Caenorhabditis elegans: one gene and its partners. The protein of the gene in region 1 purifies or fractionates together with the protein of each later gene. This does not show direct contact. Each region holds a gene or a part of one and is shown on either strand. Other genes may lie near its edges.

Region 1 (8,865 bases):
TTTTGGACGGCGCAAAAAGTGACAAAATGGTTTTTTGTGGCTTTATCAATAATCAAAGTGTTCGGGAAGTAGTGGAGGTGACCATGAATTGGTGAACGAGTTTTCCTTTTCCGCGGCCATGTAGCAAAACGAAAAGCTTTTCAGAAAAGGACATGGTACATCGAAAGAGTCTGATAGTTATACTTAATAAACTGGGTCATTGAAAATATCATTCCATGGAATTTGGAGACATGGCCTAGACCATTAAAGTTTTTGCAGTCAGTCGCCAAATTGATAAAGAGTTCGAAGTGGTCTTCTAAAACTAATTCAGAACGTCGAATCTTCACAATGTGACCTGGCATTCAAAAATTCAACTGGAAGAGTTTAGTTCGTAAAATATTTGAAAAATATCCTGACGTTTGAAAATCCATGTTGTGAAGCGGTGACCGAGAATCAGAAAATAAGGCCAGGAATTAAAATTTTGTCGGTTTTCGAGGTGGCCTAGAATCGGTAAGTTAGACAACTTTGTCATCCTTTGAAGTCCATTAAAGTGGAATGATAATACAATTCTGAAAATTGTTCAACTAAAACTAGCACTCTCACTCTCCGAAACCAAACGAAAATTTGCTAAAATAGGTTGAGTGGTGGCTGTAGGTCGGGTTATATTGAAAAGCAAAATGAGGATCTCTAGAGAGTAAGTAGCTGGATGACGACTGGGTGCGCGCCTAAAAACACAAGGTCAGATTTGAAGAAGTTTTGAGGATGAGTAAGAGGAAAAATGTGAAGAAGAAGAAAAGGAAGACGCCGACTAATTCATGTCGAGGACGATGATCTCGAAAGTACACTTTGAAAACTATTTCATTGAAATTCTGATCCGTTTCGGTTGAAAATTAGGAATAAATGGGAGGTTGGACCACGTGGCAATTTTCTGATAAACTAGGTATAAGAAACGAAATTGAAAAATATTTTCAAAATCTTCAATAAGTTCAGGCATTGCCAAAGAGACAAACCGAGATGGAGAAGCCAGTGGAAAGGGGTGTATGTGCGCAAGAAAGTACAATAACTCAGCGGGACGTTGCCAATATCCTCTTCTCTGAATATTATTATTTGCAGGAAAATGAAACGGTTTTCTATTCCGTTAGTTGGCAGAAAATTAGATTAATTTTATAATTTTCTTTTTTTCTGCCAATACAAAATTAGTGGATTTTCAAAACTTTGAAAATTAATATCTGGCTTCAAACTAACTTTTTCAAAAATTTCCATAGCCATTATGTTGCAAATTTTGTGTTCTTTCAGAATTTAAAAACGATATTCCAAAATCTTTCATACCCGCCGAATTCAAGCAGAAAATGTGCATTTTCAGTCATACCTTTTAGAGCACATTTTGAGATTGAATGGAATAGACAATTTATATGCAAAACTAGTAGATTTTCCAAACTTTGAAAATTAACAAGCCAATCTCAAATTGTGCTCTAAAAGGTATGACTGAAAATTCACTTTTTCTGCTTGAATTCGGCGGTTATGAACGTTTTTGGAACGCGGTTTTTTTAATTCTGAAAGAGCATTAAATTTGCAACAAAATGGCTACGGGAATTTCTGAAAAAGTTAATTTGAAGCCAGATATTAATTTTCAAAGTTTGGAAAATCTACTAATTTTGCATATGCCGTATATCTTCTATTAATATGGCCTCCCTATTAGACTTGCACTCCCTAATAGTATTGCAAGCGGGAAGACCATCGAAAAATAGTATTGCAGCCATATTAATAGAAGAAATACGGTAAATGGTCTATTCCATTCAGTCACAAATTGTGCTCTTAAATGTATGACTTTTTCTGCTTGAATTCGGCGGTCATAAAGATTTTTGGAATACAGTTTTTAAATTCTGAAAAAACTCAACATTTTACTCAAATGTTCAAACATTAAATAACTCTAGTTTGGTTCTATTTTCAGCATTTCGACCTTCTATTCTCGTCACAAGTGACCCAAAACTGAAATTCCCAAACTTTCCACGTCAAGAAACCTTCAATTTCCCAACCGTGAAAGTACGTCAAGAGGAATCGAATTATGTGCATATATATGTGTATGTGCTCACGGAGCCCAGCAGTTTTTCGAGTTGTCAATGGAGACATGCTCTCCTGTTCTCTGTGCTCTTGTGCTCTCCCACTTCCTCTCACTGAAAGAATTTCGACATGGAAACGTGCTTCTTCTCTGAATCTCTTTTTCTTTTGAAGAGTTTCTTGCTTCTTTTGTGCATTGATTCTTTTTGGCAAATTTCAAGGAATTTCTGAATTTTTGCAGAAATGAGATGACAGAGGAGGTTGGCCAGAAACTTTTAGAATCTCTATCATTATTCAAACTTGGTGATATTGGCTATGCACGGATTGAATGTGAGCTGCTAACTACGTTTCTGTGAGTTTTTGGTTTTCTGAGGGCACCTGGAAAGTATCGGCTGCTTGCTAATTTTACGACACCAGAAGGTGTCAGACGTTACCTTACAGCCGACAAATAATGGGTCAGAGCGCCTTTGGAGCTAACATTATTCGGCGTTTTATAGAACGTTTTTCATAAAATAAGCAGTCGACATATTACGGGGCTTTTATTTTGTCGATTGAATTTTAACCGCCAATATTTTATCGATGATTTTTCAGAGAAGAGCAGTTGGAAAACAACTTAGACAGTCTTTCAATCCACGAACTATCCACAAATCTAATTAGAAACCGGATATGTTGCAGGTAAGAGAACTCGTCTCGTGATGCATCGGCTCATCTCCACAATCCAGAATATTTTTCAAGCAGCCCACACACTACTGGATTATTAACCTGATGATCCCATATTGTGTCGGCCGCAATAACCATCTTAACATCCGACATTTTTCGATTTTAATTTTCAGAGAATTCATCGAAAGCCGGCCGGCCAAAAAATGGGTTTTTCTTATTTTTCGATTGGCGCGAACTTTGTTCAGGGACAAGACACGAATTGCGACGTTTCACTCGGTTAATCTACACTCGGAATTCGTTCAGGTATTTTGGAGAAACCTGACATATCAGACAAAATCTTACCGAAATTGCAAATTTCAGACGTTCCAATTCATTGCGTCCAGATTTCTTCGCAGTGAACACGACTGGAATGTCACTGTGGTTAACTGTTTGAGTATGTTCAATTTTCAGAGAATTTCAATAAATATTTTTTGTTTCAGATGTAACACAAAAACTAATCGATAACGGGGAGAATGCGCGCAAGTTCGTGGACTGTAATTTGGAAGACGCTGTCCTTGTGCTGCTTGCCACGCGGCAAATGACAGTGCTTCAGCATTCGTTGGAGGTTAGTTGGTGGCTGAAAAATCAATAAAATTAATAATCATTTTCAGATTCTCGGAAGACTCTCCGATTGGTCCACAACTTGTCGGGAGAATTTGTGTGAATCAAATACGATTGACGTGTGCCTTCAGCTCATACCAGATGGGGATATTTTAACGCAAAAGTAGGTGGCAGCAGACATTTCACGACTTATAGCAGCCGACATTTCTGGGGTCTAACATGACATAGCTAGCAACCTGCACTATAGGAGTATGAAACAACTAGCAGCCGATACATGACGGGATTTACATGAAAACCTAGCGGCGGACGTCTTACGGGATTTCAAGAGCAAAACTATGTAGTAGTCGATAATTTCTAGTAGCGCGTAACAAGTGACCGGCACCTCCTGGGGCATACCGAACAACTAGCCAACACTCTAGATAAATTTCGCCCGTAAAACGTCTGCTGCAACTCGATTTTTGAATTTTCAGACTCTGCATAAGCCTTCTTCGAATTCTATCCTGCGAAGAACAGGCCCGAGAACAAATCCGAATCTATGACGGTGTCCCAACTCTCCTCGGACTCCTTTCCATCAAAAATTCCCGTCTACAATGGCACGTGGCATGGACCTTAGCCCAACTTGCCGAGCAACATGAAACGTCCTTAGAAATAGCACAACTCGGCGGAATAAGTTTGATCTTTGCCGCCATTTCCAACCCAAAACCACCTGGAAAAGCTGTGGGGGACTGGGTGGCCATGCTCACAGGGCTCACGGCTCTTCTGGCTCAATTAGCGCAAGCGAGTAGTAATCAACAATTGATGTCTAACGCGAACGGAGTTTATATTTTGGGGAAATTATTGGCTATCAAGAAGAATGTTACTACAGATGAAACTATAGATTCTTGGGATTTACTCCAATGTTCGATCTTCCGGGTTCTACGGTTAATGTACACTTTTGAAAGATCCCGTCAGTTGCTGAAGAAGGTGTTACCCACAGAAATTTTCGAAAAATTTGTGGATGTTGGAAATTATAATAGTGTTCTTACGGATTACGATCAAATTGCCAAAATGTACGATAATCTTATTGTAAGTTTTTTGTAATTAAAATCTGAAACTTGGAAAAAAATTTCGAAATCTTGTTATTTTTGTTGGAAAATATGAAATCTCAATAAAAAAATCACAGAAATTTATAAATTTACAGGAAGAGAATATTGAAATAATGAAAGACTGGGAAACTGTAAATGAACGAAGACAGGCAGTTGGAGAAGTTGGCGAATACGAACTTCTTGATCAGCTGGGAGCCGGAGCATTCGGATGTGTGTACACAGTTCGAAAGAAGGCACAGAGTCATTCGGAAAACCCGGCTAAACTACTTGCACTCAAGGAGATATTCATGACGAATTTGAACGACAGGGAATCTGATAAAAGTTTTGGTGATATGATTAGTGAAGTGAAGATTATTAAACAACAGTTGAGGCATCCGAATATTGTTCGGTATCGGCGAATTTTCGTAGAGAATCATCGATTGTATATTGTGATGGATTTGATTCAAGGGTGCTCACTTCGTGACTTAATTATTACAATGAAGGAGAAGAAAGGAAATTTTGAAGAAAAAAAGATTTGGGCTATGGTTGTACAGGTAACTTTTTTATAATTATTTAATTTCTATAGCACCCAAAACATTGTGCATCGACTTGATTTTTTACATTTTTTTAGACTCAGATTGAAAATAGCTTTTAAATATTTATAAAAAATCTCATAAGCTTTTATAATCTTTCAGATGATGTTAGCCCTTCGCTATTTGCACAAAGAAAAGCAAATTGTACATCGAGACTTAAAGCCAAATAACATAATGATGACGACAGACGAGCGAGTGGTGATAACTGATTTTGGGCTGGCAAAGCAAAAAGGCCCAGAATATCTGAAATCGGCGGCGGGTACCATTATCTATAGTTGTCCGGAAATTGTACAGAATTTGCCATATGGAGAGAAAGCGGACATTTGGTCATTTGGTGAGTTCTTACTGTGGGGCTCATGTGCCCAAAAATTGCTGTGTTAACAGGGAAATCATACTAGTGTATTGGTAGCGTTGTAATATCTCAGGGTTACTGTTAACTAAGAGATACTATGGTCCAGTTACTAATCCATGAATGTTCAGGTTGCTGTATCTATGAAATGTGTCAACTCCAACCGGTATTTCATTCAACAAATATGCTAACTCTAGCCATGCAAATAGTCGAAGCAAAGTACGACCCGTTAAATGAAATGTGGAGTGACGATCTTCGATTTCTCATAACTTCCTGCCTGGCACCAGATCCTTCTGCCAGACCAGACATCTTGAAAGTATCTGGAATGTGCGGAGTCCGTCTTCTTGAATATCTTGACGATGTGGCACGTCAACAAGCAAGTACTTCAGATATGACTGCTTCACAATCTAGTTATAATATCAAAATCGATGAATCCCCATCCTCCCTGAATTCCTCCACAAGTTCCTATAAACGTCCTGGAAGGTCGTCAAAGACATCAGGGAGTGGAAAGCTGCCACCAATTAATCCAGCGCCACGTGAGTATTTTTCAAAAAAGCTGAAATTTTTGGGAGTTAGTTAAAACCTTGAAACTTCAAAATGAAACAAAAACGTTAATAATAAATTTTCAGAATTTTTTGATAAACACAATCTCAGATTTTTTTTAGTTCTAAATCTGAAATTTGGGAACGGCAAAAATGGAAATACTTGAGCTTTTTCTGCTCATATATTTTCATATAAACATTTTCTCAGGTCGGAATCACTCAATGTCAGCCGGGGAGACGCCACGTCCTTCCAGTATTGTATGCCTTCCACGCATCACTGACAAGTACAGTGTCATGTTTCCATCAGCTCCATCTGCAATTCCAAGTCGTCGTCGTGTTCAAACATGCTCTACTGAACATCCGGCTCGAAGCTCTTCCTCCACAGAGCTCAAAGTCTCAAAGCAATCCGATGGTCTGACAGTCAGTAGTAATGTACTCCGCCAGATTCAAGATCCAGTACTGACGATTTTGAATCAAATTCATCGAATACTAGTAGTAACTGATAAGGAAACAATTTCAACATCAATGAACCATCAAAGAAGACTTGTTGAAATGTTTCGAAAAAACTTGCTTGGGCGGGAAAATGATGCGGTTCAGATGAAAACTCACTTGAGAAAGTTGGCTGCCGAGTCACCAGAGGAAATTCAAATGAATTTGGGTTTCTCGGATTTTCGTCCGGTTTTGGTGCAATCTCATATTAATGGATATCAAAAAGGTTGGGGATTTGAAAAGTTATTTAAAAATATCTCAAAGATTTCAGACCAAAAAGTGACAAAAATCACGTACGAGCAATTGTCAGCGTGCATTGAATGTTTGATTGCAGAAAATCCAGCAGCGAAGTGACATATGCTAAATTGTATATACTGTTTTTTTGTATATTATTGATTGATTACTGTCATAATTTGTTTTAGTGGTGGAAGCATATTTAATGAAAATAAGGGAAAATCCAAGATGTGGGCGGAGCCTATTAGCAATAGTATTTCAATAGTACATCAGGTACCTTTCTTCATGCCTATCTATAAGTTTAAATAATACTTATTTTCTACATTTTGACATGATTCTCACAGTGCCGAAATAAAATGTTGTCAGGCCTAGGCCCCACACATTCCTTGTCTTTTGTTCTTTTTTTAGATTTTAACTGAAAAAAACTACTTTCAGGCGATGTTCCAGCAACTTTTAATGTTGATTTCTGATTGTGAATATTTTTTTGGTATTCTTGAACTATTCTTATTTTTTTTTTTTTCGTATTTTGATATTTCCCGTGTGATTTTTCAAATGAATTCACCCATTTCAACACTCTATCGTGAAATTTCACAAAAAAAACCGTCCCAAAAAACTCACAAAGGCAGGTGGATAAACAAATGGAAGAGACTTGCTCAGAGAGCCCCAAAGAGTCAAATATTATTTCATTTATTTGGCACAAACTGCTCAAACGTGTGCCTCCCCCCATCATGATTTGCTTGTTTTTTCTACTTTTGCAGATTTTTGTGATTTCAGGTAAATTGAGTTATTTGCTAAATCTCGATTTTCAGAAGAAAAAAATGTAAAAGAATCTCGGATCTCTAAAAATTGAAAAATATACCAGAACAAAAAATCTAAGTTTTTTTCTACAAAATCAATTTAAAAATTGATAACTAGAAAAATTGTTGAATAGTTAATAAAAACTAAAATAAGCCGAAATAAAATTAAATTTTTAAACCTTTTTAATTCACTTTATGTTCAAAAATACTTACTTTCTATAAAATTGAAAGCAAATTTTCCCGAACTACCAAAGACTGTTCGAGGTACAAAAGTTTTCAAACAACTTCGTACTGATTAATTTTTAAAAAGTTCAAAACTATAGAGAAAGCATCTCAAAATATGATTTTCAGTGGTTTCCCAATGCCCACCTGGTCTAACTCCCCTCTTTTCCAACTCCAACTTCAATCAACCACTGGTATTTTTTTCCAAATTTCAACTCTGTTGCAATTTTCTGTAATTGCAGACATGTACCCCACAGGACGCGTGCAGTTGTTATTCTTCGTCGGGATCTTCTCGTTTTGGGACAATATGTCAATATGCTAGTACCTACAATAACTACATATGTTGTTATTCGACAAATACACGTGAGTTTGGCTGCAATTTTAGTGTACACGGAATACGGTAGATTTCCTCTACAGTGATCCATTCACTTAAAGCACGGAGCCTCGATATTTGAAATCAATCTTCTATCCGAGCAATTTCACCAGTTCAACTTCCAAATTACATATCCCAAATATTTCCAGAATGTGGATCCAATTCAAGCCCCCAAGTGTCTGCATCTGGCCAAGTTGTGACCTGCTCTACAAACACACAGTGTGCGTCTGGATACACGTGTAACAATGGTGCCTGCTGTCCCAACACCAATTCTAGTAAGAATCTCATTTTCCTATTCCTACTTTCCAACTTCAACTTCAGATACCTGCAGTTCAAATGGAAACAATGGATGCTTGGCGGGTCAAACAATGGTCAATGGGCAGTGCTACAACTCGGTGAACATCGGATCTGCATGTCAGAGCACCCAGCAGTGTCTAGGAGGATCCCAGTGCCAGAACAACATTTGTCAATGTTACAGTGGTTATGTGAACGTCAATCAGCAATGCGTGATCAGTAACGGGCTGAATTGCCAACTCGGGACAGTGTCCTATAACTCTCAGTGTATAACTCTTGCATCGCCAGGACAAAATTGTCAGACCTCTTCTCAGTGTATTGACAACTCGGTGTGCATGAATCAGATGTGCACCTGTAATAATAATTAGTGAGTTTTGCAGTGTTCCGTAGATCGCTGATAATATCAAATATGATAAGGTGGCATGATATAATTTTTTTCGACTATGTGGAAATTACATCATGTAGAGTCACACATATTTTCGCGACACTTTAGTACTTGTAATGTTAGTTATACATATTTATTATCGTACCAGCTTTGCGGTATTATTAGATCCAACTTACGCCTGGCTTTGATTGGAACTTAAAACTCATATTTCTCAGTTTCAATATTG
Region 2 (7,274 bases), 2.9 Mb from region 1:
CAAAATTATCAATTTATTAATTAAAACATTGAGAAAAAAATAATTAAAACCGGTTTTTTTTAATAGAATGTTTTTTTATTTTACTCTTCAGTTCCTGTTATTTGTATAACTCTTTTTTTCAGTTTTTTTTTGAGTGAAATTCAATAAAGCTAGTTTTTAAGCGCTTTTTTCGAATTTTTTCAAGTTTTTAATCGAAAAATCGCCAAAAAAATTGAGGAAAATTGCTAAAATTTTATCGGAAATACATTTTTTAAGAAAAATCTTTTTTTTTTTCAAAAAATTGAGTAAGAATGTAAAAAATGGATATTTTCTCAGAATTTTGAAGACAAAAGTAGCTTTTTGCCGATTTTTCGATTAAAAATTGAAAAAAAAAAGTTTTGATTTTTTCTGAAAAGAAACTGTTCTAAAAAATTTTTATTTTCTGAAAAATCCGAAAAAAGTGCTTAAAATCTTGTTTTATTGAATTTTTTACAAAAAAGTTTCAAAATTTCGTCAAAAATAGTTTTTTTTAAGAGAAAATCCGAATTGTGAAACTTTTTCTTGATTTTTTCGGTTTTTTTTTAATCAAAAATCGAAATTTGTTACGAAAATGGTTAGTTTTTGCCAATTTTTTCATTTTCAAGGTAGAAAATCCCCGATTTTCAGCCAAAAATCGTGCTCCTTACAGCTTTCAGATCCTCATCTTCATCTTTATTGATCGGAAGTCTCTCTTCATCGGAATCTCCTTCCGAATCGTGACGACGCTTACGGAATGCCATTCTGAAATTTTTTTTTTCTGAAAATCTGAAAAATATTTTGGAACTTATGTATAAAAAAGGTAAAAACCCTTTAAAAATGCAAAAAAAAATATAATAAAATATAATTATTTACAGTTTCACATTTATTCGAAACGAAAATAAGACGCCGTATAAAAATGTCGATTTACGCGGCTCGTGAACTCCCCGAAGTGAAGGGAACTTTTTTTTGGAAAAATCCGATTTTTTTTTTGAAAAAAACTCTTGCTAAAATCCGCAATTTTTATGGAAAATTTTGAGAATTTTCAGGAAATTCGGCGAATTTTTTTTTGAGACTTCTTAGTGAAAAATCCTCAATTTTTTGAATTTTCCCAAAAAAAAACCAGTGATTTTTGAGAATTTCAAAGAGAACACCGCGGTTTTATTGAATTTTTTCAGAATTTTCAAAAAAACGCAAATTTTCAAGTTTTTTGAAAGAAATATCTGAAATATCTCTATTTGAATAATTTATTTTTCAAAATTTTCGAAAAACCTGGAATTTTTTGAAATTTCCAGAAAACCGCAATTTTATTGATTTTTTTCTAGAAAAATATCGTAAAAAACGGATAATTGCAGATTTTCGCGGAAAAAATTTTCAATAATTTTATCAAAAAATTTTTTCCCATAAAAACTGCAATTTTTTTTTAATTCTCAAAATAATCCGCCGAAAATTGCCAATTCTGCAATTTTTCCATTCAAAAAATGCAGATTTTTCAAAATTTTTCGCCTTCTCCTCGTGAAGTACACAAGCCGCGTAAATCGACACATGCGGGAGCTAGGAATCCCGCGTAAAAGTAGAGATCTACAATATAATTTATCCTTTATTGTGCATATTTCCCCATCCACGTCGATGATCATCCTTATATTCATCCCAACGCATCGCCTTCGCTCTCGCCTCGTCATCATCAACCTCTTCTTCGGATTCTTGAGCTTCTGCCCCGGCTGGAGCCGACGATTGTGGAGCATTTTGTGGATTATGACCGAATTTCTGATGATACCATTCATCGACACTCATCGCTGGAATTCCTGGATATCCGAGCCCAAAGACCTGCTTCTGTTGAGCATCTCTGGTAATAATGAAGGGTTTAAGTGTTGGAACTGTCTTTGTTGCTGGTGGTGGAGCTGGATGACGATGTGGGTGAGATGCTCGTTCAGCCATCATTTTCAGCAGTGGAAGCTCGTCTGAAAATTGTTTTCCGTTTTTAAAAACGTCGCTTTCTGCTCTAAAAGGCTTAAAAGGCTTGGCCATGAAGAACTGAAAATTATTCAAAACTCGAAAAATTCAATTTTTCAGGGTCATTTTGAGGCTCTAAAAACTATTAAAAAACTTTTTTACTGACAGAAAATTAAAAAATTTGCAAAAAATAAAAATAATAATTAACTTATTATTTAAATTTTTTTTATTTTTTTGTTTAAAAAAATTTCGAATTTTCAATTATTCAAAAATTGGAAAAAAATTAGACAATTAACAGGAAAATTCATTTCTTTTATCAAATGTGGTTTATTTTGATTTGAAAAATCAGAAAATATATAGTTTTCTTCTACAAACAAAAAAATGACCAAAATACGACCAAATCGGAGATTTTAGCTAAATTTTGGACTTTTTTCTTGTTTGTAGAAAAAAAATGATATATTTTCTGAAGTTTTTCATCAAAATAAATTTTTTTTTCGATTTTTGAATAATTAATTTTTTTAATTCAAAAATCGAAAAAAAAATTTAGATTTATTTTGATGAAAAACTTTAGAAAATATATCTTTTTTTTCTACAAACAAGAAAAAAGTCCAAAATTTAGCGGAAATCTCCGATTTGGTCGTGATTTGATCATTTTTTTGTTTGTAGAAGAAAACTATATATTTTCTGATTTTTCAAATCAAAATAAACCAGATTTGATAAAAGAAATGAATTTTCCTGTTAATTGTCTAATTTTTTTCCAATTTTTGAATAATTGAAAATTCGAAATTTTTTTTACAACTTTCTAATTTTAAAGGAGTTTTGCAAAAATTTAAAAAATGAGTTAATTATTATTTTTCCTTTTTTTGCTTTTTTTTTAATTGTCTGTGGGTAAAAACGAATTTTATAGCTCTTAGAGCCTCAAAATGACCCTGAAAATTGAATTTTTCGATTTTTTAAAATAATAGTTTAAAAAAATTACAAAAAATCTTTAAAAAGCAGCGTCGCACAGAAAAATAGTTTTTTTCTCGAATAAAAGATCATAATTTGAACATATTTGCTGTTTTTCTGTGTTTTGGTTACCATTCGTCTGGAAACATCGTTAAATTAATGAAAAAATGTGCGAAATCCGGAAGTTTAGCTAAATTTAGCCATTTTTCTCCTTATTTTCCATGAAATTCGGCATTTCGAAGCCATTTTGAGCATTTTTAGAGCAACAAAACGATTTTTCAAGCAAAAATTCCAGTTTTCTTCGAGTTCTCAGAAAAAAAATATGATAACATTGCGTTTTTCTGCCAGAAAATCACATTAATTCCGATTTTTCGTGATTTTTAAAAATAATTTTTCCATGGAAACTAGGCGATATTCTACACACCATCAATCGCCTGCAACTCCTCGTAACATCTTTCACTCCAGAACAATAACTGAGTAATATAGAGCTCTCTGAGATTCTGCTCATCAATTGAAACGGCTTCCAGCTGCTTTTGGATCCTGAGCTCCGCCATTTTGAGCTCTTGCTTCTTCTTGTGACGCTCCAACTTCAATCTTCTGATCTCTTCAACTGCAAGCTTCGGCTTCTCCTTTAAATTTTGCTCTTCTGTATCCTCATCTTCCCATGGTAATCTGGTGGTGATCAGGCACAAATCTCGGAGGCGATCCAGAAAATTTCGCATATAAATTTTGGATTTTCTCAGTTCGTCGAGCTTCAGGCCGGGCTCAGTCATCAAATTTTGGTGGAGAATTCCCAAAAAACATGGGACAAGGAGATAGGGCAGCGAGTTTGTTGGAACGTCTTCAATCTGAAAAAAAATCATTTAATTTCAGAAATAATCTTTTTTTTTTTCGATAAAAAACCTGCTCATTCGACGAAAACAATCTCATCTGATTCACAAGCTTCGTGACCAACTGGAGATTATCAATTCCCGTTTTGATGCGAGGTTGGAGCTCCGGGGTGGAAAAAATCCCATCTTCAATATCGCCGATCACCTTTTTGCTCGGATCGTAAAGCGCTTGCAAGGAAATTTCTTCATCTGATAGCTCTGACATGCTCTGAAATTTAAATAATCAATTTTTAATTGAACAAACGAGGAAAAATTCAGGTTTCGCAGAGAAAACCCGTTTTCAGTGAGCGAAAATTTTTCAATAAACAAAACGAAAATAGAAAACACCCGATTTGACGACACTTGTGCAAACACCCTCACGCAATATTGCACAGATTTCTGAAAAAACAATTTTTTGTTTTTTTCTGGAACACATTTTACAACTTTTCAGACGGAATTTTCGGTTTTTTATCGAAATTTATGGAGAAAACGTTCAAAAAAACTCAAATTTGCTTGTTTTTAAAGGGTTTTTATGGGAAATCGTGTCATTTTTCCTTTAACAACGGAAAAACAATTCAAACACTGTCAAAATGACCAAAAATCATATTTAATAAAACGTTCAAAATGTTTCGGAAAACGCTTTATTTCGAGTCAAAAAGTGGAGAAACTCGTTTTTTTGAAAGTCTTCGATTATGGCCGCAGAGGCTCAAAAAGTGGCGCAAAATCACTTTTCCCGCGCGAAATTTGAAAAATTATCTCAAAAAAGAAGAAAATCGCCGAAAATTTAGTCTAAAAAATTGGCTTTATTGGAAAAAAATTAAAACATCAAAATCCAATTATTTAATAGACTTTATCGTTCTTGAGCAGCTTCTCCGGGAAGCATCTCTTGAGGCACTCAACAGTGAAGCAGCAGACATCATCCTTCGGGAATTCCTTGTACGAGCAGTTGTTCTTCATGGCACAGCACGCGGATTTGTAGGTGCTATCTGAAATTAATTATGAATCTTTTGAAACAAAACACAAAAAATCAATAAATAAAAAAACTTACAATCCTCAACAGTGCATGGGGATTGCTCCAAGCCGTAACGGCAGAACATATTCATATATTTATCGAAATTCTTGCATGACGAGGCGAAGGAAACGAGGAGAACGAGGAAAATCAAGGCGATCCGCATTCCGGCGGCAGACTGGCTCGGAGCTTTGGAGCTTTGGAGCTTGAGAGCTTTGAGCCGGCTTCCGATGGAACAGCTGACTAACTTTTTACTCACTTTTTCATCAATGTGTCAGTTGTCGGTTTTATTTTTGAAAGTTTTTATTCAACAAACCAAAACATCAAAAAAACATTCAAACGCTCAAGGACGAATTACGATTAACATTTAACAACAAGAAAAATATTTAAATATTTTTTTTAATAGGAAAATTTTAATTTTTATAGGAAAAATTCCCTATGACATTTCCTTCACAATATTATGCACCGCCTGGCTCCGCATCACGCTGGTGTGCGCCGAATCAACCTGGAAAACATTTATTAGATTTGAAAAAAAGAGCTCAAGGGGGCTCAGAGTCCCTCTTATATTTAAATGGAAGAGTTTTCAGCTTGGGAAGCTCGGCCGCGACGCAGCTGCATGCGGAGCGGCTCAGACGAACACATTGATTTTATCATTTTCTGGTAGAAAAAAAAACAGAATCAACGTTTTTGCCTGAGCCGCTCCGCGCGCTGCTGCGTCGCGGCCGAGCTTCCCAAAACTCTGCCATTTCAAGGGACATCCCGCGTTACTAGAGCTTGAAAACCCATAAATCACCCACCAAAAGCAGTGGTTTCAGAGCAGATCTCAGTGAATTAAACAAGTCGGGGAAGATGAGCTCCTGCTGAGCCAGGAGCTGCTTGACACGGTGACGTTCGGTGGCCTGGTTGAAGCATGCCGGGCAGTTTTCCGCGACAACTGGGAGTTCTGGAAAATTATTTATTTGGAGATAAATTCAAAAAAAAAATCGCTGAAAATACTTTTATCCTCGGCGAAATTTCGTAGAGCCTTCTCGCGAACCATCACCAGCGGTCGAATGACTCGAAGAGCTCCGTCTCTGGAAAAAAATTGAAATTCCTTTTGAAATCGACGTGAAAACGCGCTCCACGGACAATTGGTAACGCTCCGCCCCCAACAGTTGGGTCTCGTTAGGAAAATTTTCAATTTTCCATCGATTTTATTGATTTTTTCGTCGAACTTATGTTATTTTATAAATTTCGGCATAAAAATTTATTAAACTAATGAAAAACGTGACAAAAACATTTGAATTTAAAGTTTTGTCTACAAATACCTAACGAGACCCGCCTGTTGGGGGCGGAGCGTATTTTTCTGGAAAATATACGATTTTTCAGTGTTTTCCAGGAAAGATCAAGTTATTTTCCCAATTTTTTGTTTTTTTGAACACGGTAGTCATTACTGTAGTTTTCGCTGCGAGATATTCTGCACAACACATTTGACGCGTAAAATATCTCGCAGCGAAAACTACAGTAATCACTACTGTAAGTGTGGATTTACGAGCTGCCGCCAAGCCCCGTAAATCGACACCTACAGTAGTCATTACTGTAGTTTTCGCTGCGAGATATTTTGCGCGTCAAATGTGTTGTGCAATACGCATTCTCAGGATTTTGAGTTCAAAACATTTGGAAAATATTTCGATTTTATCGTAAATTTTCCATAAAAATCCGCCCCCAAGAGTCGGGTCTCGTTAGGTATTTGGTGGCAAATCAATCTTTTTTCATTTTCGGTGAATTTTTGAAAGGAAAATCTTAAACATCGACTGATTTTTGGTGTTTCTACCTGAAAAACAACGAAATTTAGATTAATTTCAGGATTTTCGTCTCAAAAAACTCGAACAAAAATCGATTTTTCTAATTTTCAGTACTAACTTCGTCGTATACTGAGCCTTCATCGTGCTCAAATTTCCATTCTGAAAAGCGGCAATGAAGAAGCTTTCAGCAAGATCATCCAAATGTTGTCCCATCGCCAGAACATTCCATCCGTGTAATTGTGCGGCGGCGGCGAGTCGGCCACGCTTCATTCGACTACAAAACGCGCAAATCGATCGGAGTCCGGGCGTTTTTCGGGCGGCTCCAATAATATCCTGCTCTTCGTAGAAATAATCAATATTGAGCCGTCGACAATACTCGATTAATGGGCGTGGATTGTATTCTGCAGATCCTGGATCAACGGTGATTGCACCGAGTTCGAAGGAGGTGCTGGAAATATGAATTTTTTTTCAAAAATTTCCGACGAAAAATGACAATTTTCGCCATATTCTGAGCACATGGGTCTCGCCACGAGCTACAGTAACTCGTGTCGATTTACGGGTGCGCTGAAATAAGGCTCCGCCCCCGAGCCAAGGGTCTCGTTAGGTTCTACATTGTTTTTGAAGATTTTTGAGCCGAAATTGATAATTTCATGTAAAAATCATAACGAAAAAGGCAAAAATTCTTGAAAAAATTTGAATATACACTATTGCCGCCAA
Region 3 (7,543 bases), on another chromosome or scaffold:
ATGCCAATCTATTTTTTGGTATGCCAATCTGTTTTTTGGTATGCCAATCTATTTTTTGGTATGTCAATCTATTTTTTGGTATGCCAATCTATTTTTTGGTATGTCAATCTATTTTTTGGTATGCCAATCTATTTTTTGGTATGTCAATCTATTTTTTGGTATGCCAATCTATTTTTTGGTATGCCAATCTGTTTTTTGGTATGCCAATCTATTTTTTGGTATGTCAATCTATTTTTTGGTATGCCAATCTATTTTTTGGTATGTCAATCTGTTTTTTGGTATGCCAATTTATTTTTTGGTATGTCAATCTTTTTTTTGGTATGCCAATCTATTTTTTGGTATGCCAATCTGTTTTTTGGTATGCCAATCTATTTTTTGGGTAACGCAGGATTCTAAATAGGATAAAACAAGTAAAAGGAGGGAAATACAATAAGGAACAATAGAAGATGGTATTAAATTTTGTTGGTGTTGGTGTAAAGACCCTCTCAATCAATACGAAGGTAAATGTGGGTCAATTCAGAAATATATAATTCAAATAGGGGTTTGAGATGTAATTCACGCTGGAAAATAATGCGTGTGGATATAGAAGGTGTGATATGTTGTGGATGTTGGTATTAATAAGGATTAGAAGTATTCTGATAAGAATAACGGCATCAACAACATATCATCAGCATCGTATTTCACCAATTCTGTAACAAACAAGTTGTTAACTCGCGGGTGGCGGTGAAGTTGGCACGGCGCCAAGTAGTTAGAGACGCAATGGGTCTCGCCGCGAAGGCGCTACCATAAGCTGGTGGCGCGCGGTTTGAATACAAATATATATATATATGGTGATTGATATCTTAGCGAATACTGAACGGATTTGAATGGAACAAAATGTAATAAAGAGATAATAATTGTACAACACAACAGTACGGATATTGGTTAAGAATAGTGGGCTATTCAATGGAAAACCATATATATTAGAGTACTGTAAAATTGTCGGGATAAACCTGTAAGGGGCAGAATCGACAACAAAACATTATTAAGGTTGTAAATCACAGAATTATAGATGTAGTGTCTTGTCACATTTACTTCACAAAAATTATATGTTTTGAGAAAGAATTCTTCAACAACATGCAAATCGTTTCATAAAACTACAAATGGCACAGGATTCTGGTTGGCAATTGAAAGATCTATTCAAATAAAATTATTTTAAAAAATGCTTGCTTTGAGAAAAAAATATATATATAACGGTTTGTCAAATTTTTTGAAGTTTTTAATTTCCGACATTAGAGGTGGAGTACCGAAATTTGAGAATTTGCTTTTTGGACCCGAAATGTTTCAAAACTACCGCATTTCGTAATGAGACGTTCTGAAAATTTCTCAAAAAAAAGTTATGGCCGCTAGTTACAATCGCTGAGACACTGAAAAATTGCCAAAATTTGAGATTTTAGCTAAAAATATACTGTTTTTTCCAAAACTTTGAGCGACCATAACTTTTTTTTTGAGAATTTTTCAGAACGTCTTATTACAAAATTTGGTAGCTTTGGAACATTTCGGGTCCAAAAAAAACTAAGTCTCAAATTTCGATAGCCCACCTTCAAATAAAAAATATAAAATTTCAGTGTTCCTATATTCCTTGAAAATTGTTATTTATGTACTTTTTGGAGTTCTAAAATGTGGGGAATTTTTAATTTTTTTTTTTAAATCATTGAAGTAGATTATTGAAGTAAATAAATTTTGCAATAGCTAAATGCCAAAGGTTGAAACTTTCTTGTGTCAGGATATTTGGTTCCTTCTCATTAATCTAGCTTTATTTCAAGTTTTAATCATGAAGCAGAAATGTCCTAGCGAACTCATTTTCTGGTTGTTAACAGAATAACAAAAAACAGTTCTATAATTGAATAGATCACCAAATAAAAGCCAAAAAACTTTATTGCAGAATTACAAAAAATGTTTGGTTTTGTGGGTTCTATAAAAAATGTGCAATGTTTCTCAAACCTTGATTATTCAACTGCGGTAGGGTTTAAAAACTAGACCCAGATTTTGTTGACGCGCTAAACTTCACGTAATTTTTTTGAACTCAGATGCTAAGTAATGTTAAATTCTTTTAAAAAATGAGACTAAAATAAACAAAGTATTAAAATGTATTAGGGTGAATTGAAATTAAAGTTTCAAGTTGGGCCCAGGGGAACAGATAGCTCAGTCGGTAGTGGTGGCCGCTAGCAATCTGGAGGTCAAGAGTTCAAGTCCGACCTCACTCCCTAAGTTCTTCCAGTTTCACCACCCAGCTTATTTTCGGAAGTGGAGCAATCCACGACTGGATTATCGGCCACAGTCCCCGGCTAGGACGCGGCTTAAATTATAGTCCAGTGGAATCACCAGCAAGCAGTGCATCTGAATCCCAGGTCCGCAGTGCATAGCACTTGAAGAACGGATCGTCCTTAAATCCTTTCGTTTTAAACTCCATATTTTAGTGTTTTCCCACCTACATAAACACTACGTCATTTTAACACATCTAGTTTTAAATTGATGACATTTTCAAAAAATTATTGTACCATCTCTTGATCAAATTTCTCATATCTCTGCTAGTTGTTTTACATAGTTCAACTGTTCGTTCTTGTGATATTCGATGGTTCAAATATCACAGTGATCTACTTTTCTCCAGAGACAAAGTGAACTGACTAATATAGTGATAATAATTCAAAATTCGTGCGATTTCTAAATTGGAAACTCAAAGTCACAATTCTGTTGTGAGCCACCAGTCTATCAATGTGACTTTTGATGTCAGTTGAAAATCAGTTGACTATCTGATGGCGATAATGATAATTGTTTAGGTTTTGTGCGATATCTCATTAGAGAAGTCACGTTAATGCTATATGCGTACGAGCCCCCTCATTTTGATGTTGAAGCCTATGATTTTAGAAAGCAGAGTTGTCTTGTTGTCCTCCCCCTTTTGCAGACCAAATCCGTCTTATTTCCTCTCATTCAAAATGTTTGTTTCTTGATCTTAGTCTCTAGTAATCTCCTTCTTGATCCGCTTCAACAATTCTACATTATCATTGGGCTCAGACGTTGTTTTGACTGACTAGTTCACATGTTGTTTCTCACGTACCTACAAAACATTTCGACCATGTTTACTCTCACGGACATTGTCTCACGTGATTCGAAATCAAAACAAATTGCGCTTTCAGGGTTGAGCTCAATAAATGTCCTGCAGTCTTTTTCCCTTTGAAGATTCATCGACCGATCACAGAAAACGATCCAATTCGGAGTCTTCCAAACTCAGAGTGTCCAACATGATTTCGGATATGCAGAAAATGTCAATGATGTCGGGAAATAAAGGTTAGTTCTGTCACAAATTGTTAAACAATTTCATCTGATAAAGTTGTATTAGGAAAGTTTTTTTTAGGATTTTGTAAATTCCTGAACTTACTCCGCCTCAGTCCTTATTGAAATTTTTTTTTTCAATAAGTAATCCCTATATTTGAAAGGTTAATTTTTATATAAAACCGTGGGAACTTTTGTCTGATTCTCAGACCTAAAAAAGCGTAATTTCTAAATTTAAAGATGAAAATAAATATGACTTTTAATCTGAATAGTTGAATAAATTTTTAAAAAAAGTAAATCATATTTTAATATATCTAGCAATGTTCAAAGTTTGTCGTTGAGAAATTTCTTTAGAAACATAATTTTATTACGAAAACAGTTCAATTTCCGTCCTCACGTGGTGTCAAAGTGTTCCATTTTGGTTTGATCTTCAAAAAATGCAGACTTTTCCACTAATTTCGCAGAGTTTGCTGACGTCACACTTTCCTCGGGGAAAAATTCCCGCATTTTTTGTAGATCAAACCACAATTTGACACTCTGACACCACGTGTGTCCTTCATTCAAAAAAACTTTCTGCTAGATACATTTTAAGTTCCGAGCGCTAAATTCAACAAAAGAAGGCCTTCAACAATATAATTCTTTCACGATTTATCACCAAACTTATTACAGTTTCCCGTTATAGTTTAGGTTTTTAGTTATCTTTTTAATCTAGCAGTTTCCTATATTATGTTGTTGAAACTCTTTGGATTACGGTAGGATAATCTGAAACTACAAATAATGGTCTAAAAACATCAAAAACAAATACCTTCAGCTAATCCATTCTGAGATTAACATTATTTCAGAAACGGCTAAGGTGGTTGCTCGGACGGATTATGGCACAATTGTTATAGACAACGATATTTTGAAACTAGCAAAAAATGCAAAGCAAAAAGAGCACGAATTCCGAGCACCGTTCCTTCCCAGTTCATTTGAAAGCCAGAACTATTCGGTTCTCTCTACATCTCTCCCACTGAAAAATCCGGCAAACATACAAAAAAGAAACATCACAGAGGAGATTGATCATTCTCAAAAGCGGCAAAAATTTGAATCTGAACCGGTTGACTACATTCTGAAAGCATTACCATCAAACTTGCGAAACACCGACTGCCAGGGGGCTCTAATGCAGTTGTTATACGGAACAAGCATGCCGGTTCTTCCACCATTACGCTCGTCTGTCAAACCACAAGTAACAGAAAAAACGGCAGATGACAAACCACCGTATCTCGCTGGTCCATTCACTAACGAACTGAGACTTGAAAATATTAATCAGTTTTCACCAGAACCCATGCCTCAACTATTCAGAGAAGAGCCAACAACGTCAGAGCAGTCTGCTTCAATAAAAGATTGCATACTAAAATCAACAAGAAGCTATCAGAAACAAGCCACAAAAGACATTGAGGACAAGAGGACCATTTTTAATGCATTGTATAAAAAATGTGAAGAAGATCAAGTCGCTTTCAGGATACAAAATGAAACTACAGCATTATTGGATAATATACCAAATTTTGTCAATGGTATTCCGAACGATTTCTGCTTGCAAAGCGGGATTAATACTGCTAATGGTAAATTTATTAATTATGTGTATTTACATATGTAGCTTGTATTGGTATAACAAAAATGTAGATGATACCCATTTATAAATAATTTTCTGTTTAAAACTGGACTTTGGTCTGTGGAGAGATAATTGAACGCATTTTTATAGTGCTAAAATGACTAAAAATTGTAATAATCTTATTTTAATTTTTACTTTTTTTAAGTACATATTATATCATAAAATATCATAAAATAGGGTTTTAATCATTTCCCGACAGGCCGTGTTCTAGTTTAACTAAAAAAACGCTAGTTTACTGTATGTGAAAACGGCGCGGCGTCGGCGCGGCGTCGGCGCGGCGTCGGCGCCTCACGCCGGCCAGTCTACTCCTGTCGCCGCAATGTACATTTTGGCGTGAACTCCGGTGTCTGCGTAGTGATCAATTAACGACTGCACACCGTAGTTTTGCGCAACGCTGTTTTGCGCAACGTGGTGTGAAAAGCAGTTCTTCGGAAGCCTCCGACAGATTCGGGGTTCCGCGCCGCACTATACAAGCCGATTCATTGCGACGTTAGTGGCGGCGTAAGGTTGTTTGAAGCGCCTCACCGGCCGGCGAAGACGACAAATCGGCGCCGAGATGGAAGCCCTAGCATGCTCTATATTTTGTAAAATTCACTTATTTTGCATCATTTGCATAATTGAGACGATTTAAGTCATTCCAAATTAACCGATTCGGAGTAAATTTTTGAAAAATTTTTTCAGCCTGACTAATAATCTACAAAATGGACCAACATTTCAAAATACTCAGTCAAGCAAGAGTTATAGTTTAAAATGTCAATTTTGTGCTTAGACTGTGTACTAGAATTTTCCAATCATTAAAAATTTGTTTGCCTAACCCATTTTCTATAGTTTCAGCAGCACCAGCCGTGACTCAATTGCCTCAATTTCACATTCCAATTCCAACAATGAATTTGCACAACTTATCAACCAATACTCTCCCAGATCTAACAACATTCGACCCAGCTTTACTAAATCTACTTTTAGCACAATTAACGGCTCAGAATATTGCACCGCTTCCTGTGGTTGCTCCAAATTTGGAGCTGGCGCAACAATTGCTCTTTCAGTTACCTACACCAGCGACAGGTTTGACTGAAATATGCCAATTGCATTGATAACTTGTGTTTTCAGCAAATCCAGCCCCTTTTCCAGATGTGAGCATCTTACTTAACAGCCAATTCAGCCAAACTCCGTATTCATTTCTATAAGCATGTTTAAGCAGGATTTTTCTGATTTGAAGTACATATTAGCTTCCAACAACATCCTAGATCTCAGTTTTCAGCAATCTCTACACCATAGTTTTAATTCAATAACTTCATTGTACTTTCCCAATTATTTCCGTGAATAATTGTACGTTTTTAAACAATTATATACTCGCCATGCCACGTGTTGTTTTATGAAACATTGTGATTTGAGATTTATTTTGTGATTGAAAAATTTCCATTTTCATTTTAAAATAGATAAAATTGTATTTTTAAATGTTTGAAATGTATTTATTAAAGTTGATGGAATTTCACGTTATTTTATCAATTGAAACCGGTAGATCGATTTTGAAACGACACACTTTTTTCAGAAGCTTTTTATGATTATAAATCGCGACAGTAAAATGTTTGAGTTTTGAAACTTTGTGAATTTTTATGTTCCTCTTGAAAAATGATTTCTATTAAAGGTGGTGTAGTCCAATTTTTTATTGCTTTCATTAGACTGAAAATTGTCTGAAAACACCGAATTTTGTAATGAAACTTCTTGAAAACTTCTCAAAAAAAAGTTATGACGGCTCGAAAAAATGGCCTAAAATTAGTTAAAATTTGAAATTTGACCGGCTTGTCAAAGTTGCAGCAGCTGGAAACAATGAAACCACCGTCAAATTTTAGTTTTAATAATCAGGTATCTTGCGTGTTTTCAAATGATTTAGGTATTTTAAAATCTATGGACGAAAACATTTGGTAAAAATTTCAAAAAATCTTTTTTTGTGAGCAGATTTGAAGTTAAAATGTATCTTAAACGTCACTACTTTCATGAATTTATTTTCGTAAAACCGAAATTCATCAGACAAAACTCAGAAGCCCAAAGTGACATCATTCTACTCTATTTCCGTTTCAAAACATCATAACAAATTTGATTAGATATTTTAAAATACGTTTCAACAACATTTTGCTCTCAGACTAATGCTGATCTTTTGCGAATTCCAAAAACTAGGGTCTCTGATTACACATTACATGCCTATAATAACCTGTTTCTCTCTGTTTCCATAGAGATTCAGCATGATTTGCGCAAAAAGTACAAAGTTCTGCTCGGATGGAGCTCGAAATGGCAAATGCCTTGCTTTTCCGCTTTCGTGGCACCAAAGTTTTGAAGTTTTGAAATTTAGAAATCTACGGTTTTTCAATCAAAATCTCTCGAGCACTCTATTCAATTAACTCTGGCTGAAAAACTATAATACAATAATCCGTCTGGAAGAATTTTGCTTCTTTTTTCAATGTGCTCAGATATTTTCGGGTTTTTATCTCGCATTTTTTTCCACTTTCAGTGTGTAACTTATTACTGATAAGAAGTTATATCAGATGTTTTATCACATGCTGCCACTGCTGTCTGAAACTTTTG
Region 4 (6,037 bases), on another chromosome or scaffold:
AAAAGCGCGAGTTACTCTTCTCGATAAGACTGAAATCGACAGAGGTATAGTTTTTTCTATGTTTTTTGTTATTTCCAATTTCCGTCTCCTACTTTTCGTGAAATATCACCATGTACATTCTCCCACGCTAATTAGACGGTTTCAATGAGAAGATAGGAAAATATAGGGGAAGAGACAGCTCGCTGCCTTCACAACTGCTTGTTTGTTTCTTCTAACAGAATATCACATAGGTTTTCTCTTTTATTTTTCATTATTTAGCTTTTTTCTTCAGAATTAAAGGTGAAATACCAAAATCTTAGCCTATTTTAAACTCCACGTTAGCTCAAAACTACCGAGTTTGGCAATGAGACGTTCTGGAAATTTTTTTAAAAAAGTTTTGGCAGTTCACAGTTTTAGAAAAAAATTGAGCGATTAGTTGAAAACCTGCCTTTTCCAAAACTTTGAACCGACAAAATTTACACCAAAAAATGATTTTCGAAATGTTTCCTTACGAAATTAGGTATTAAGGGGCGATTTTGGGTCTAAAAGTCTAAAGTCTCAGATTTCGGTACTCTAAGGCTCCGTACCGTTAAACCTCTAAATTTGATAGTATCAAACTCACAAATGTGTCAGATGTTTTGACTCAATTTTTTTGTTCAATTCAATTTCCTGTTTTATTTCCGGTTCTTAAAACACCACGAAGCAATTCAAAATCAAAACGGAAATCTTCTTTTTTTTTCCACCCTCACATGTTACTTGGTGATTATTAGCAAGGAAAACTATCAAGATGTCTGAACCGCGCTATATTCGTTTTCCATGTTTTTAAGTGATTAACTTTTTAGCTAACCAGGAGCTTCATTTCAACTATTCCTAGTGATATTTGTGATATTTTCAGTGATGCCAAAGTCTTCGAGCGAGTTCGACATTCGCAAGAAACTCAACAGCATGGCGAGCCGTAAGAAGGACAGCAGCGATAGCTCTCCGAAAAGCCAGTGCTCAGTGAGCTCAATTCCTGAGCATCGTAAGTGATCCGCACACAATGTTAGCAGCCAACCGAGACTTGGAAATTCTATTTCAGCTACTTTCGATAGTATCGGTGAGCGTCCAAACGTGAAGAAACATATGAAACTTGGAGATCTTGGAAAAACTCGTTCATGCGTTGAGCTGAAAACTAACGATAAACGACTTTTACGCACGTTCCAAGAGGACAACATAATCAAGATGCCAAGCATGGATTCAGATATTGGGGACGATCATGTCACTGGTGTCAATGATCTATGCCTCAGTTTTGAAGGTCTCGGAAAGGTAATAGCAAACACTTGTGACGTAGAATGTTATAGAATATTAGTATATTAGTATCGTCTGAGAAAATTTTCACATTTTTTCTTCACTAATCTTTTCACAGCGGATTATGAAATTCGTCTTATTTTCCAGTCTCTCATATACTCCCAATCTGACGACAACAACTCCAATGACGTCAAGAGCAAAAAAGCAAAGAATTGAACTGAGAATGCTGACGGATGTTCAACGTCGCCCTAACTTTTTGTGATTCTATTCATTAAATGACGACTATTTTTCTCATGGAATACCTTATAATATTTTGATTTAAAAACTTTAAAGCAACTAATTAGAATAAAACCGCCAGAATGAATATACCGAATCTCACAAATACAATTTCCCATCGGTTATAAAACCTGTCTTTTTAGTTATATTTTTTATCTATCAATTTTAAATGTACCTAGGTCAACAAAAAAAAATCCACATTCAAAAGTAGAGCAAAACAACATTAACATAATATAGCAAGAACATCTTGATCAGTTACTCTTACTCTAAAAACTAGAAGACTACAAAAGACTACATATAATGATACTAACAGAATGCATCTATTGAATTGAATTGAATTGAATTTATTACGATTGAAATCGTGATAATAAACATAATAAACATACGATAATGAACATACAGAAAAATAATAAACATACAGAAAATGAATTATCATCTGAAAAGTTGATTAGTTGGTACATGTATTGATACATGGTACATGGTATTGATTCTTAATAAAAAAAAAGTCTGCAAAAATTCACATAACAGGAGATTTTATGAGTCTCTAACCTAGTTTAACAAAATCAGCGAAAAAAATTTCAAATCCTTTGTTCAAGCTGAATGCGTTCCTCTGCTGCTAAAATTCTTGTAGGCTCCTAATTTAAAGGCCCTTTTTTCAAATATTTTTGTTTTTAATCTTCTCCAAATGAAAAATATGTTTCTCTAAATTTTTTGTATGTTATTTGCTCACGAAGTATTTTCTAACAAGGTTCTCATGATTCAAAATGTACCCCATATGATCGCATTCTCATTCGCTTTCATCATCAAACGATGAGACAAATTAGAAAGTTATGCAGTCGGTGTCTCATTTTTCGCGGTCGCGCGATAAGGAAAAACCGAAAGTGTTCAAGAGGAGAAATGATTCCATGATGAAATGACCCCGAAAAAAGAAAAGCCTAATCGCGCCTTATCGAGTTTTACCCACTGACCTATATCCGCTGCTTATAAGTATCCGGATGGAATGCAGCTTCACTAGAACTTTTTTCTCCACATTTCCTTTTCTTATTTTCCCATCATGCGGGATTTCTACGACGTCGCCGTTGCGTCGATCGTCCTATCGACGTTTACGTTGGTGGTTGCTGTTTTCTCAGTGCCAATGCTCTTCCATAAATCGGATAACGTACTCCTCGAGATTTCTTCGTTTTCTGACGGAATAAAGGTAACGCACTTTTTTTTGTTCGTGTGAATATGCTCAATCAACTTGTTATTTGCAGGCTAAATCCGATCTCGTTTGGAATGAATTGATGGAGATTAAACAGGGTGACGCAGTTCCGGGAATTCAATATTTCTCGAGAAAAGCGAGAAGCAACTGGATGGGTGGAGCATTCTGTAAAGGATGCTTTTTACTATCATGCCCACAAGGACCACCTGGACCACCAGGAGCACCAGGACCAGACGGTCAGCCAGGAGATGCCGGAAGACAAGGACGTTCAGGAGATGATGGATTTGACATTCAGCCAGAATCGGAGCCAGAACTTCCTTGCGTCATTTGTCCGGCTGGACCACCGGGACCACGTGGTGCTCAAGGAGAACGTGGTATGACTGGAAATCCAGGAATGGCTGGAATGCAGGGAACTATTGGAATGGAAGGTGTTGATGGAGGACCAGGCCTGCCCGGACCACCTGGACCAAAGGGAGAACGTGGACCACTTGGACCATATGGTCCACCAGGAGACACCGTTGTTGCTGGAGTCGGAATTAAGGGTCCACTCGGACCACCAGGACCACAGGGAATGAAAGGACCACCAGGGCCATCAGGAAAAGGATCAAATCAACCAGGACAACCAGGTCAGCCAGGAGATATCGGAGGCATTGGAAAGACAGGAAAGATGGGTGGATATGGAATGGAAGGTCCAGCAGGTCCACCAGGAGATCCTGGAATGCCAGCCTCATACTGTCCATCTGACTGCGGAGTTCAACCGATTCTCACTGAAATGTTCCCAACACCATTCACCCCAACTGCCGGATATTCTAACATGCAAAGACCAGCTGCTCCATCTCGTCCACTTGCTCACCCAGAATACGCTGACGGATCTGCTCCAGCTCACCTTCCACATTCTGGAGCTTCTGATTCTGCCGCTGCTTCTGAGGTAGATGCTCCAGCACCACATCAACATCGCAAAAGCCATCGTCTTAGACCTTCCCATCAGCAACAATATGGAGATGAGCAGTGAGTTGAATGATAACACCTCTAGAAAGTTTGTAATGTAAATTTTCAGAAATAACGCTGTCGCCGACGCCGGCCGCTCAGTAAATGCTCCAGAATACGGAGACGGATCTGCCCCATCCCACATGCCAAGTCACAGAGCACATCATCATCCAAATTCAGCTTCTCAAAACTATGTTGACCCAGAAAGGTATGGTGAAAAAATTCAAAATGTGTGTACTTACTGTTAAGTTTTTGAAATTTAAGAGGATCTGATACTGCTGCCGCCGATGCCTACGCTAACCGAATGCATGATTTCCAAGATTTCGAGAGGAAATGGCGCAAGAAGTTGCTTCAAAGAAGACTCAGAATGATGAAGAGACAATAGGTTGATAATTAGATTTTATAAAATAATGCAAATTTTATTATGAAGTTGAACATTTTCGTTCCATTGTTGAAAAAAAAAATTATTGAAAAGTCACACAGTCCAAAATATCAAAACACTGCGAGCTTTCTCACGTATATTTGAGCAGACAAGTTGTCTTGTGGAGCATTTCGTTTCGCTGGTTGTACTTTGTTCTTCTCCTCTAGCTGACCGTTAAATGGTTTGGAATATCTCGATGATTTCTCGGAAAGTTGTGAGCAATGTCGCTTGGATGCTGGCTCGCCTTCTGCATAAACTGAAAATATCAAGATTTAATTAAAAGTTTTAGTGAACAAGTGACAACCTCTTTTTGATAAACGTTCGTTATTTCTGCTGTCCATGGAGTTATTTACACCTCTGAAACATTTTATTTGGTTTTTCCGGAAAGATTGTAATGATCTTTAGAGAACTGATTGGAGTGGTGTCATTGAGATTTCTGTTAAAGCATACAAAAAATCTTTATTCAGAACAAACAATTTTGAGAAATTTTTATTATTATTGTATGCTTTCATTTGCTTTCAAAAATCAAAATACTAATATATTAAAACATTACTATTAAGATAAAAAACTTGTAGAAACTGTTTTGTTCGGCTTCCAAAGTTACAATTGATAAAAACTTGAAGTTTTAGTTATTGCCATTGTTCAACCATATTGTTTTCCTACCAAAAATAGTCAATTACGGTTTAAAAGTAGTACGAAATTGGTAGGTTGTAGAGAAAGAAAACGATGGTTTTGACAGAAAAGAAAGAAGAAGCAAGTGTGGGAAGGAAGAACGGAAATTATGAAAAAAATATAGATTGATTGTTGAGAAACTGTCTCGCGGCAAATCAAAATTGTTGGTTGCGGTGAAAGTACAAATCTTGAATTCCATGAGGCTATCGGGATGAAAATATTGCATGGGGTGCAATAAGGAAATTAAAACAGTAATAGTATTTTGTTATTTATTGGTTTTGCCTATATTGGTTGTAGATACATCAGTTCAAAATTCTTTCGGTAAGTCCTTCAAGTTCCGCGAACAGAGCCAATGTTTTCTAACAAGTTTAAAAGTGATTAAAGTATTATAAAATCTCGAAGTTTTTCTGGAAGCACAGTTTTAATTATTTTCTTCATTCAATTTTCAGTTTTTCGTAAACAGTTTTCAAAGTGCTAACAATTCGAAAATTTGTAAGAAAGTTCATTCCCATCGAAATCGTTAAAATCAAACATGATAAAAGTCATACAGTGAAAAGAGAGAAAGTGAATCAGTATCTGCGGGATTATCATTTCTAGATGATTGCGGAAAGACGAATGACCATCTCAATTATCAATGGTATTGGGAATTTTGAACATACTCTTGAAATTGGTTTAAGAACGACTTCAGATAACTGGAAAAGTCTTGAACGACTGAAAATTGCCTCAGCTTTAACGTTAAGTTTGGTATCATGTTTCCTATCAGAATTTTCCAGATCAGAATTTTTGAAAAAAAAACTAATTGTAAATACGAAACCTACTGTTGCAAATTGAATGAACGAAGTATGTAATTCTATCCAACATTGTGTTTTTGGAGACTTTACAAGTTTCACAAAGAGCCATAACTCTAACACTACAAAATTTAAAAAAAAACGTTTAATTACAATAATGTTCCGCAGTGTTGTTTATATGCATGTGCGTAAAAAATGTCCTCATGCAATGGTGACTAGAAATATAGTGGCCAACATCTCGCGAGTTCTTTTTGGTGGTCTTCCTGTTTGAAACGACTGTAACCCAAACACAAAATGGGAAAGGTTAATAATATGACTACTTGCACTAATTTGCACTACTGATTATTTATGTATTGTTTGTATTTTATTACTTTCATTATTGTTTTCAGGCTGCAAGAAAAACAGTGGTTAATGTAAAGCATTGTT

Evidence for each region.
Region 2: the proteins of nekl-4 (region 1) and ppfr-4 fractionate together in Caenorhabditis elegans (co-fractionation; one large-scale study listed by BioGRID). This does not show direct contact.
Region 3: the proteins of nekl-4 (region 1) and Y7A5A.7 fractionate together in Caenorhabditis elegans (co-fractionation; one large-scale study listed by BioGRID). This does not show direct contact.
Region 4: the proteins of nekl-4 (region 1) and dpy-8 fractionate together in Caenorhabditis elegans (co-fractionation; one large-scale study listed by BioGRID). This does not show direct contact.

What each region holds. Positions count from the first base shown.
Region 1 is NC_003281.10:5,510,944-5,519,808, reverse strand, and holds nekl-4 (Serine/threonine-protein kinase D1044.8), read left to right. Parts: upstream 1-2,285; coding exon 2,286-2,389; intron 2,390-2,628; coding exon 2,629-2,712; intron 2,713-2,870; coding exon 2,871-3,130; intron 3,131-3,176; coding exon 3,177-3,301; intron 3,302-3,347; coding exon 3,348-3,460; exon of another isoform or gene 3,461-3,692; intron 3,693-3,767; coding exon 3,768-4,362; intron 4,363-4,477; coding exon 4,478-4,915; intron 4,916-5,056; coding exon 5,057-5,288; intron 5,289-5,434; coding exon 5,435-5,839; intron 5,840-6,053; coding exon 6,054-6,560; intron 6,561-6,605; coding exon 6,606-6,688; 3' UTR 6,689-6,897; downstream 6,898-8,865. Other genes in the region: pqn-25 (Prion-like-(Q/N-rich) domain-bearing protein 25), read left to right, coding at 7,207-7,342, 7,717-7,781, 7,830-7,950, 8,110-8,235, 8,282-8,621.
Region 2 is NC_003281.10:2,616,655-2,623,928, reverse strand, and holds ppfr-4 (Serine/threonine-protein phosphatase 4 regulatory subunit ppfr-4), read right to left. Parts: upstream 3,994-7,274; 5' UTR 3,991-3,993; coding exon 3,799-3,990; intron 3,744-3,798; coding exon 3,320-3,743; intron 1,956-3,319; coding exon 1,588-1,955; 3' UTR 1,220-1,587; downstream 1-1,219. Other genes in the region: Y71H2B.2 (Phosphorylated adapter RNA export protein), read right to left, coding at 666-758; Y71H2B.4 (Lipoprotein), read right to left, coding at 4,605-4,750, 4,813-4,939; Y71H2B.5 (Aminotran_5 domain-containing protein), read right to left, coding at 5,210-5,278, 5,571-5,716, 5,770-5,846, 6,676-7,005. UniProt on the Caenorhabditis elegans protein: Probable regulatory subunit of serine/threonine-protein phosphatase PP4 which may play a role in meiosis and embryonic mitosis.
Region 3 is NC_003284.9:15,799,821-15,807,363, reverse strand, and holds Y7A5A.7 (PPP1R35_C domain-containing protein), read left to right. Parts: upstream 1-3,191; coding exon 3,192-3,327; intron 3,328-4,154; coding exon 4,155-4,913; intron 4,914-5,797; coding exon 5,798-6,054; downstream 6,055-7,543.
Region 4 is NC_003284.9:5,146,992-5,153,028, reverse strand, and holds dpy-8 (Nematode cuticle collagen N-terminal domain-containing protein), read left to right. Parts: upstream 1-2,552; 5' UTR 2,553-2,596; coding exon 2,597-2,740; intron 2,741-2,795; coding exon 2,796-3,751; intron 3,752-3,800; coding exon 3,801-3,938; intron 3,939-3,994; coding exon 3,995-4,115; 3' UTR 4,116-4,222; downstream 4,223-6,037. Other genes in the region: C31H2.3 (uncharacterized protein), read left to right, coding at 1-44, 875-1,000, 1,058-1,284, 1,414-1,482; C31H2.14 (Ovule protein), read right to left, coding at 4,223-4,407, 4,456-4,492.